2 linked regions of the Sus scrofa genome follow. The protein of the gene in region 2 binds, or shares a complex with, the protein of the main gene of each other region. Links are inferred from orthologs where the notes say so. Each region holds a gene or a part of one and is shown on either strand. Other genes may lie near its edges.

Region 1 (4,325 bases), on a different chromosome or scaffold from region 2:
ACTGCTGTGGCTGTGGCGTAGGCCAGCGGCTACAGCTCCAATTCAACCCCTAGCCTGGGAACCTCCATATGCTGCGGGTGTGGCCCTAAAAAGACCAAAGAGACCAAAAAAGAAAAGTACATTACATTAATTGGTTTTCAAATATTAAACCAATATTGCATTTCTGGGATAAATTCCATTTGGTCATGATGTATATAATCTTTTTTTATGTTGCCAAAATTGGTTTGCTGGTATTCTGTTGAGGATTTTTGCAACCATATTGGTAAGGGATATTGGGATGTAGTTTTTGTTTCTTATTGTGTCTGTTTGGTTTGGTATCAGGGTAATGCTGGCCTCATAAAATAAGTTGGTACATACTTGGATCACTCATATCACCCTTTAAACTTTCTCTAGCATCTCCTTCCACCTCTGTTCCACATCTCTGCTCTATTTATAGTACAGCTTTTCCCAAGAGGGGTCTACATGTTACTTCTTCACTGTCTCCAGTTTGGCTCTTGTCCCAGCCACTCCACTGACACCACTCCTGTAAAGACCCCTTGCACGTTCTACATTTAACAAAGCCAGTGGTTATTTCTCTGGCCTCATTTTGCTCAGTTTCTCAGAAGTATCTGGAATGGGTGATGCCCTCCTCCCACCTTGGCACTCTTGATTTTCTTCCTAGCCCCCAGGCCTGTTTCTCAGCCAATCAGAAAGACTGGCTTCCTTCTCTAAAGTGTGCAGTGCTTGCAGACTTGAATGTGCAGATGAATTGCTGAGAATATTGTTAAAATGCAGGTTCTGATTCAGAATGTTTAGGGTGGAGCCAAAGACTTTTTTAATCTAACAAACTTCTATGTGATGCTTAATGCTGTCTTTTGAGTAATAATGCTGCAAAGAGTCCTACACTTTGAACTTGTCTGTCTGCTACCGTAAGGTATCATTCAGCTTCCAAGAGAGGTGTTCTCTCTGTATTTCTGTAGGCAGCTCTCATAGTTCTCAAACCTTGTTCATTTCAGCATTATCTAGGAAGCTTTAAAGAATCACATGCCCAGGCCATACCCCAGATATATTGTATCAGAATATCTAGAGGTAGGGCCCAGGCATCAGCATTTAAAGCACTCCAATGACTCTAACATCCAGCTGAGATTAGACCTTAATCTAAACCTTTGCTATTCAGGGAGCAGCTGTATTGGCATCATTATTTGGATGCAGAATCTCAGCCCTAACCCTGACCTATTGAAGCAGAATCTGCATTTAAACAAAAGTCCACATTTCTCTTATGTGTGTTAAAGTCTGAGAAATGAAGATCTATGTGCTGATAGTTCCCAATGGTTATCACCATCCCTGAGCTCCAGCTTCCATACCTAACTGCCACTTTGGTGTATACCTAGCCATCTCAAACTTATTTTGCGCCTAACTTATGCCCCTGCTTAAACTTGTTCCATCTCATCCTTGCCTGATGTCATTACACCATCATTCCTAGTCAATCAACCACAAACCTGGTTCTGAGTCCACTGTGTTCCTCACTTCCCCAACCAATTCATCAGCTGCTCATGTTGCTACATCCAGATCCACCTCAAACAATCCCATTTCTCTCCATCTGCAAGCCACAACTCCAGTCCATGACCTCTCTTCATCTACCCACACTCCTTTCCTTACCTGCCTCCAGCCAGTTCTCCCTAAAGTGGTCATAGGGAGCTTTTTTAAAATGTAAACTAAAGTGTTCTCCGGCTAAAGTCACTAATTGCACATCACATGAGATAAAAATCAGACAGGCTCCATCCCTCCAAACTCAACTGTTATTACTGGAAGCTCCAGCTACACCATTTATTTCTCTTTTAAATTTTATTTAATTTTTATTTATTTTTGGCTGCAGTGTGCAGCAGCTTGTTGTGGGATCTCAGTTCCCAGATCAGGGGTTGAACTCAGGCTGCAGAGGTGAAAGCTCTGAATCCTAACCACTAGACCAACAGGGAACTCTCCCATTACGCTGTTTCTTAAACAAGCTGACTTTATCTAGTCTCAGAGCCTCTGAGGTTGCTTTTCCCTGTTTGGAAATTCCTTCCCCAGGTCAGTTCATTGCTGTGCCTGGTTATTCAGGTCTATATTCAAATGAGACGCCTTCCCTGACTACTGCCCCATTCCCAATCTAAAGCCCCATCATCCTGATGAATGAATTTTTAGCAATTAGCATCTGAAGTCACGTTTCATTTACTTCTGATTTGTTCAACGTCTAGCTCTCCTGAGACCAGAGATTTTTGTCTGTCTTCCTTTTTGCTGTCTCTTTTGCACCTGGGATAGTGCCTGCTATATAGTAGGTACCCAACAAATATCAAATGAATAAGAAGAGCTAAATTTCTACAAAGCTTCTATAAATCTGAACCCCTAGGCAGGGTGTACCTACAGCAGCTCTGAGGCTGGCTGCTAGGATTTTGACGCCCTTGGGAGAAAGAAGCGAACTTTAGCCTAGCTGCCAACCTGTGGCGTGACCTTGGGAGACGGCTTTAACTTTTCTGAGCCTCAGCTGTCTCATCTCCAAGATTAGAGATTAGGGATGTGGGGAGGCGGGTACACAGAAGGCAGCTCTCCTCGGAACGTCCCGCCGTGTACCCGAAAAGGTCACGGTGCCCTGGCCCCGGCAGCCGGGATCCTCCTGGGGCCGCCCTTCCGCGCTGCTGGCCCCAAAGGGGCTGCCCCAGGGCTCATAAATTCACGCTTGCCTCCCCGCGTGGGACCTACCTATTCACGCGGACGGCCGCGGAATCCGGGCCGGTTATGTCTTGCCCCTGGGCGCCGCCATGTTGCACGAAGATCTTCTGGGTCACGGGCCACCAGGGAGCCGGCAAATCAACAGCGCCAGTTTAAGAGAGGTCCCGCCTCGAAGAAAGGAGCACCAATAAAAAGGCGCAGCGACCTTGGCCCCGCCTCGTGGTGAGTCAGGCCCCTCCCCTAACGAGGCAAGCTGGACTCCCCACGAATGAGCGAGCTTGGTTCGGGAAGGAGAGACTGTGCGGTTTCGGAGCTGGGACATTGGACTCAGGCAGCGGGTGAACTCAACTGACAGTCCTAGTGCCCACCTGAAATACGGGAATGAAATATTAAAGGTCTAAGTAATGTGGATTCCCTCATTTTTTCAACGAACATTTGAAGGCTTACTGTGTGCCAGGCGCTGATTCGGCGCTGACGTTAGGGAAGAAGAAGGACTGCTAATCTAGCTCCTGGAGTCTGGACTAGTGCTTAACCTGTCTGTGCCTCAATAGTCTCACCTCTGAAATGGCCAATTATAATAACCTCGTAGAGGTTTTTTGTTTTTTGTTTTGTTTGTTTTTTGGGCTTTGTTTTATGGAATAATGGAGTTAATCTATGCAGAACAGCCATGTAAGCGTTTGCTACTGTTATTATGGGGGATTCACACTAATACCTTATTCCACCTCCCTCGCTTGGACGGTTGAGGATCCTGTAGGGTAGTGTGCATGTTCACAATTGTGTGTGTGTGCGTATGTGTGTGTGAGATTGCGATAGAGTGTGGATGTTTTCATGGGTTTTCGTAGTTTCTCAGAACTCAAACAAAGGTGTGTACGTTTGTGTGTGGCTGTATGAGGGTAGGTCAGGGATAGTCCCCACGTGTGTCAGTGTGGACATTGGTACATGTGGGACTTTGTGTGTCCACGTGTCAGTAGCTGCATGTGCACTTGTGATTGTATCAGCTTCTGGGTGTCTGTCATTCTGTGTGTGTGGAAGGATGTGGAATTTGTCCCAGAATTCTGAGGGGCTGGGATTAGGTGTGTCAACATTTCTTTGATGGTCCATGCAATAATGTGTGTGTGATTGCATGTCTGAACACTAGTGGGTAGATGACTGTGTTTATGACACCCCATGTGTCCCCAACTTGTGGATAAATGATTGTCCCACCATCAAGACACATGTGACTGTTATAGCCCTTTACATATCTGTGTGTGATTGTGTCTACCAGTGTGTGCCTGTACCTATATGAATCTCTGACTTCGTGTGTGTGTGTGTGTGTGTGTGTGTGTGTGTGTGTGTGTGTGAAACTCTGTGTCTCAGCGGTGGTATAAAGGTCTGACTGACAATGCCAATCTGGGGTGGTCTCTGATGTGGGATTCCATTATGTAGTTGTGTCCAGCTGTTGGTATGTGTTTGTAACACTGTGTGTCCCTGACTTGTATGGGTGTGACTCGTATGGGTGCCCCTCCACCATCGGTATGTCAGTGACAGTATATGACAATGTGTGTTTATGACTGTGCCTCAACAGTGGTCCATTCTGACTGTGGGGCTATGTCTGTGCGTGACAGTGGTGTGTTCCTATGCCTCTCTCTGTGTTTGAC
Region 2 (3,032 bases):
GGAGCTTGAGCACTGATGCCTCAGCTAACAGGGCCGTGGGCTCCCTGCAGGGAGCTGAAACGGGGCAATGTGACCACCGTCATGGAGACCGTTGGCCGGAGGCTTCGGGACTCCCTTGGCCGAACCGTAGACCTGGGGCTGACAGGGAAGCTTGGAGCTGTGCACCCCAGTGTTGCGGTGAGTGGGCCCAGCAGGTGGACATCCCCATCGGTGTCCCCTTCCCAGAAGAGGTGCAACGGGGGTTTTGGGGAGGGCTGCTTGATGCCCCGTCTCCGCCCTGTCCGGGTGGAGAAGGGCCCAGCCTGGTAGCAGGGCCTGAGACTGCGGGAGGACCATGCTGAGCAGAGCCCCCCGCCCACAGGACGGTGCCCACAAGCTCGAGGAGAACGTGTACTACTTCGGCCGCACAGTGGAGATGCTGCTGCTTCGCTTTGGCAAGGTACCTGGGGTCAGGGAGATGCGCCAACATCCAAGTGGGACCAAGCCTAGGAGGGAATCTTGGTCTCCATGGAGGGCTGGGAGACCCCTGCTGGGAGGGCATCTTCTGGGTGCAGAGAGGCTTCTTGGAGCAGGACAGGCAGCCCTACCTGGGCCTGAATCTCAGGACCTGTTCTGTGAGGTTCTTGCTGCTGAAGTGACTTTAAGCCCTGGCTTCTAGTCTCAGCCAGGTGTCCGGGACATGGACTTGTCTTGACTTCTGCCCAGATTTGCACAGAGCCGCCGGGAGCCAGCCTCCCACAGCCCGAGGGGAGGGCAGTGCATGAAGCTCAGAGACGGCAGAGGGGCCCAGGGCAGGGCCTGTGTGAGGAGGTCCCAGGTGGCGAGTCTCCACCCTGCCCTCTGTTCCCAGACCATCGTGGAGGAGCAGTTGATCTTGAAGCGAGTGGCCAACGTCCTCATCAACCTGTATGGCATGACGGCTGTGCTGTCGCGGGCCACCCGCTCCATCCGCATGGGGCTCCGGAACCATGACCACGAGGTGAGAGCCCCCCGCTTCTCCCCACAGGCAGCTTCCCTGCTGGCTTGTCATGCTGCATTTTAATCAGATGTGGTGGTTGTGGGGGGAGGGGGCTGCTGTGCGAGTCCAGGGTCATGTCCCCAGAGGGATGAAGGCGAACCTGGAGAGTTGTGGCTGTGTCCAGTGCTCTCAGCTCTGATGGGCAGGTCCTTGCTGCTCAGGACATGAGGCCACTGCCTTTCATCTTCCTGCCTGAGAGAAGAGGGAGGGTGAGTGGCGGGGCCCCACATCCAGCTCCCTCACCCCATCTCTTGGTGGGCAGTGCAGCCTGAGCACCTGCTGTGTACACGCGTGTCTTGACGCACTTTGGTCTGAGAAGCCCGGAGCTGTGGGAATTATGATTCCCTCCCACAGAGGGGGAAATGGAGGCTCAGGGAGGTTGAGTGACCTGCCCTGGAGACAGAGTCCCTTTGGCTCAGGCTGGAATCAGAATCTAAGGCCATGGCCTGACTCTGGCCAAGCTGCCTACTTTGGCTGACAGACTGTCTTCAGAGGCTCGAAAGTCAAGCGGGGGCGGGGGCGGGTGGGGGCGTGTCCTAAGGCCCAGAGATCTGAGTCCTCAGCAGCCACTTCTATGCCTTGGGTCCTGCCAGGTTCTGTTGACCAACATCTTCTGCACGGAAGCCTATCACCAGAATCTCTTCACCCTGTCCCAGCTGGACAAATGTAAGTGGGTGGCTTGGGGACAGGGGAACGGGGCTCCCAGGGCACTGTGCCCACAGATGTCTGCACCAAGTGAGGCTGCCAGCAGGAGCGCACACAGCAGGTGCGGCAGGTGTTGGCTTTGGCCTCCTCACTCCTTGCGCCCCATCTGACCCACCCAGGGAGGAGCACAGGGTTCTGTGCCCTCTGGGCTCTGGCGGCCCCTCTGTGCTGAAGGGCTGTTAGCTCCTGCTATGGTGGCTGCGGCGGAAGGGGAGTTGACAGGCTTGAATTGCTGAGGGGGGCTTTTTATCCCCTCTTCTCCCTGAGGCCCAGAATCACTTCCTGGGGAGGAGCTGTCACCTCTGCACTCCCTCCTAGCAGTGGCCTTATGTGGTTAGAAAAACTGCACAACATAGAAAGGCCACTCTCTTCTCTCCCAGGTTCTCCAGAAAATCTAGACGAACAGATCAAGAAAGTGTCCCAGCAGGTCCTAGAGAAGCGAGCCTACATCTGTGCCCACCCTCTGGACCGGATGTCCTGAAGTGGAAGGACAGTGTCCCCTGCTGCCACCTGCCCCTGGACACGCTCACACTTTCCAGAAGGCAGAGAACTTGGGTCCTTAAAGGCTGACCATTTCTCCTCCAGCCCCTGACCTGGGGGCACTGCTGCCTGACATCCCACCAGACTCCACGTGGCTTCTGGGAGAGTGAGAACTGCTGAGATTCCCTAGCTCAAGGGACACCCTTTGCCACCCCACTCAGGGTGGGACCAGGCTTGTACCACCCCCTCTGTGGCCTGGGCTGGCAGGGACATGCCTCAGGCAGGGTAGCCGCTTCAAGAAGCAGTTCATACATCACCTGGAATCCGTATGTGTCATTCTTTTAAACTAGAAGCAAAATGCACTTAAAATATGTTCAACGAGAACTCTTTAACAAAGAGAGTGTAAAACGGCACCAATTGTTAGTTTAGCATTTGCCATACTAGGCATGTGTTTCCTCACAACCAGCCTTTAGCACGTGGCAAGTTGACCCTGAGAGATCCACACTCTGGTGACAGCTGTAGGGTCAGGAGCCCTTGCCATTGGTCCTTTCCAGGTAAAGCTGCTGGTCTGTGGCAAGAGATGCTGCTCCCAGCTGGGCTTTCCTCTTGTTCGTCATGGGGACAAGAGACGTCTTTCAGAAGCACGAGCAGGACTCTGTGTGTCCAGGTCCCAGCATGCTCACCTGGCAGGCTTCAGGCTTTGGTCTGGTTCCTGGGTGGTCTGTGCTCCAGAAAGCCCATCACAGCCAGCAGCCAGGCTCTCCCCCTCCTCCAGGTAGGATTCTGCCTTGGCTGGGGTGATGGGAACCGGTTCGAGAGCTGTGCTGGT

What was found.
Region 1: the proteins of ACAD9 (region 2) and ECSIT are in contact, whole or in part, in a cryo-EM structure (PDB 8PHE), measured with the Homo sapiens proteins. The link is inferred for Sus scrofa from reciprocal best matches to the Homo sapiens genes ACAD9 and ECSIT. Residues at the interface, in NP_054768.2 of Homo sapiens: Leu180, Thr181, Asp188, Ala189, Ala190, Ser191, Ile192, Lys228, Lys239, Asp240, Lys241, Ile242, Phe293, Ala296, Met297, Leu300, Ile431, Met434, Tyr435, Leu438, Thr439, Leu441, Gln442, Gly445, Thr449, Leu516, Gly520, Lys521, Ile523, Met524; in NP_057665.2 of Homo sapiens: Pro321, Glu322, Glu323, Trp324, Asn325, Leu326, Tyr327, Tyr328, Pro329, Met330, Leu332, Asp333, Leu334.

The regions. Positions count from the first base shown.
Region 1 is NC_010444.4:70,167,895-70,172,219, forward strand, and holds the start of ECSIT (evolutionarily conserved signaling intermediate in Toll pathway, mitochondrial), read right to left. Parts: upstream 2,869-4,325; 5' UTR 2,719-2,868; intron 1-2,718.
Region 2 is NC_010455.5:71,419,867-71,422,898, forward strand, and holds the end of ACAD9 (acyl-CoA dehydrogenase family member 9, mitochondrial), read left to right. Parts: intron 1-50; coding exon 51-177; intron 178-361; coding exon 362-439; intron 440-850; coding exon 851-979; intron 980-1,019; exon of another isoform or gene 1,020-1,175; coding exon of another isoform or gene 1,176-1,210; intron 1,211-1,611; coding exon 1,612-1,684; intron 1,685-2,103; coding exon 2,104-2,204; 3' UTR 2,205-2,526; downstream 2,527-3,032. UniProt on the Homo sapiens protein: As part of the MCIA complex, primarily participates in the assembly of the mitochondrial complex I and therefore plays a role in oxidative phosphorylation.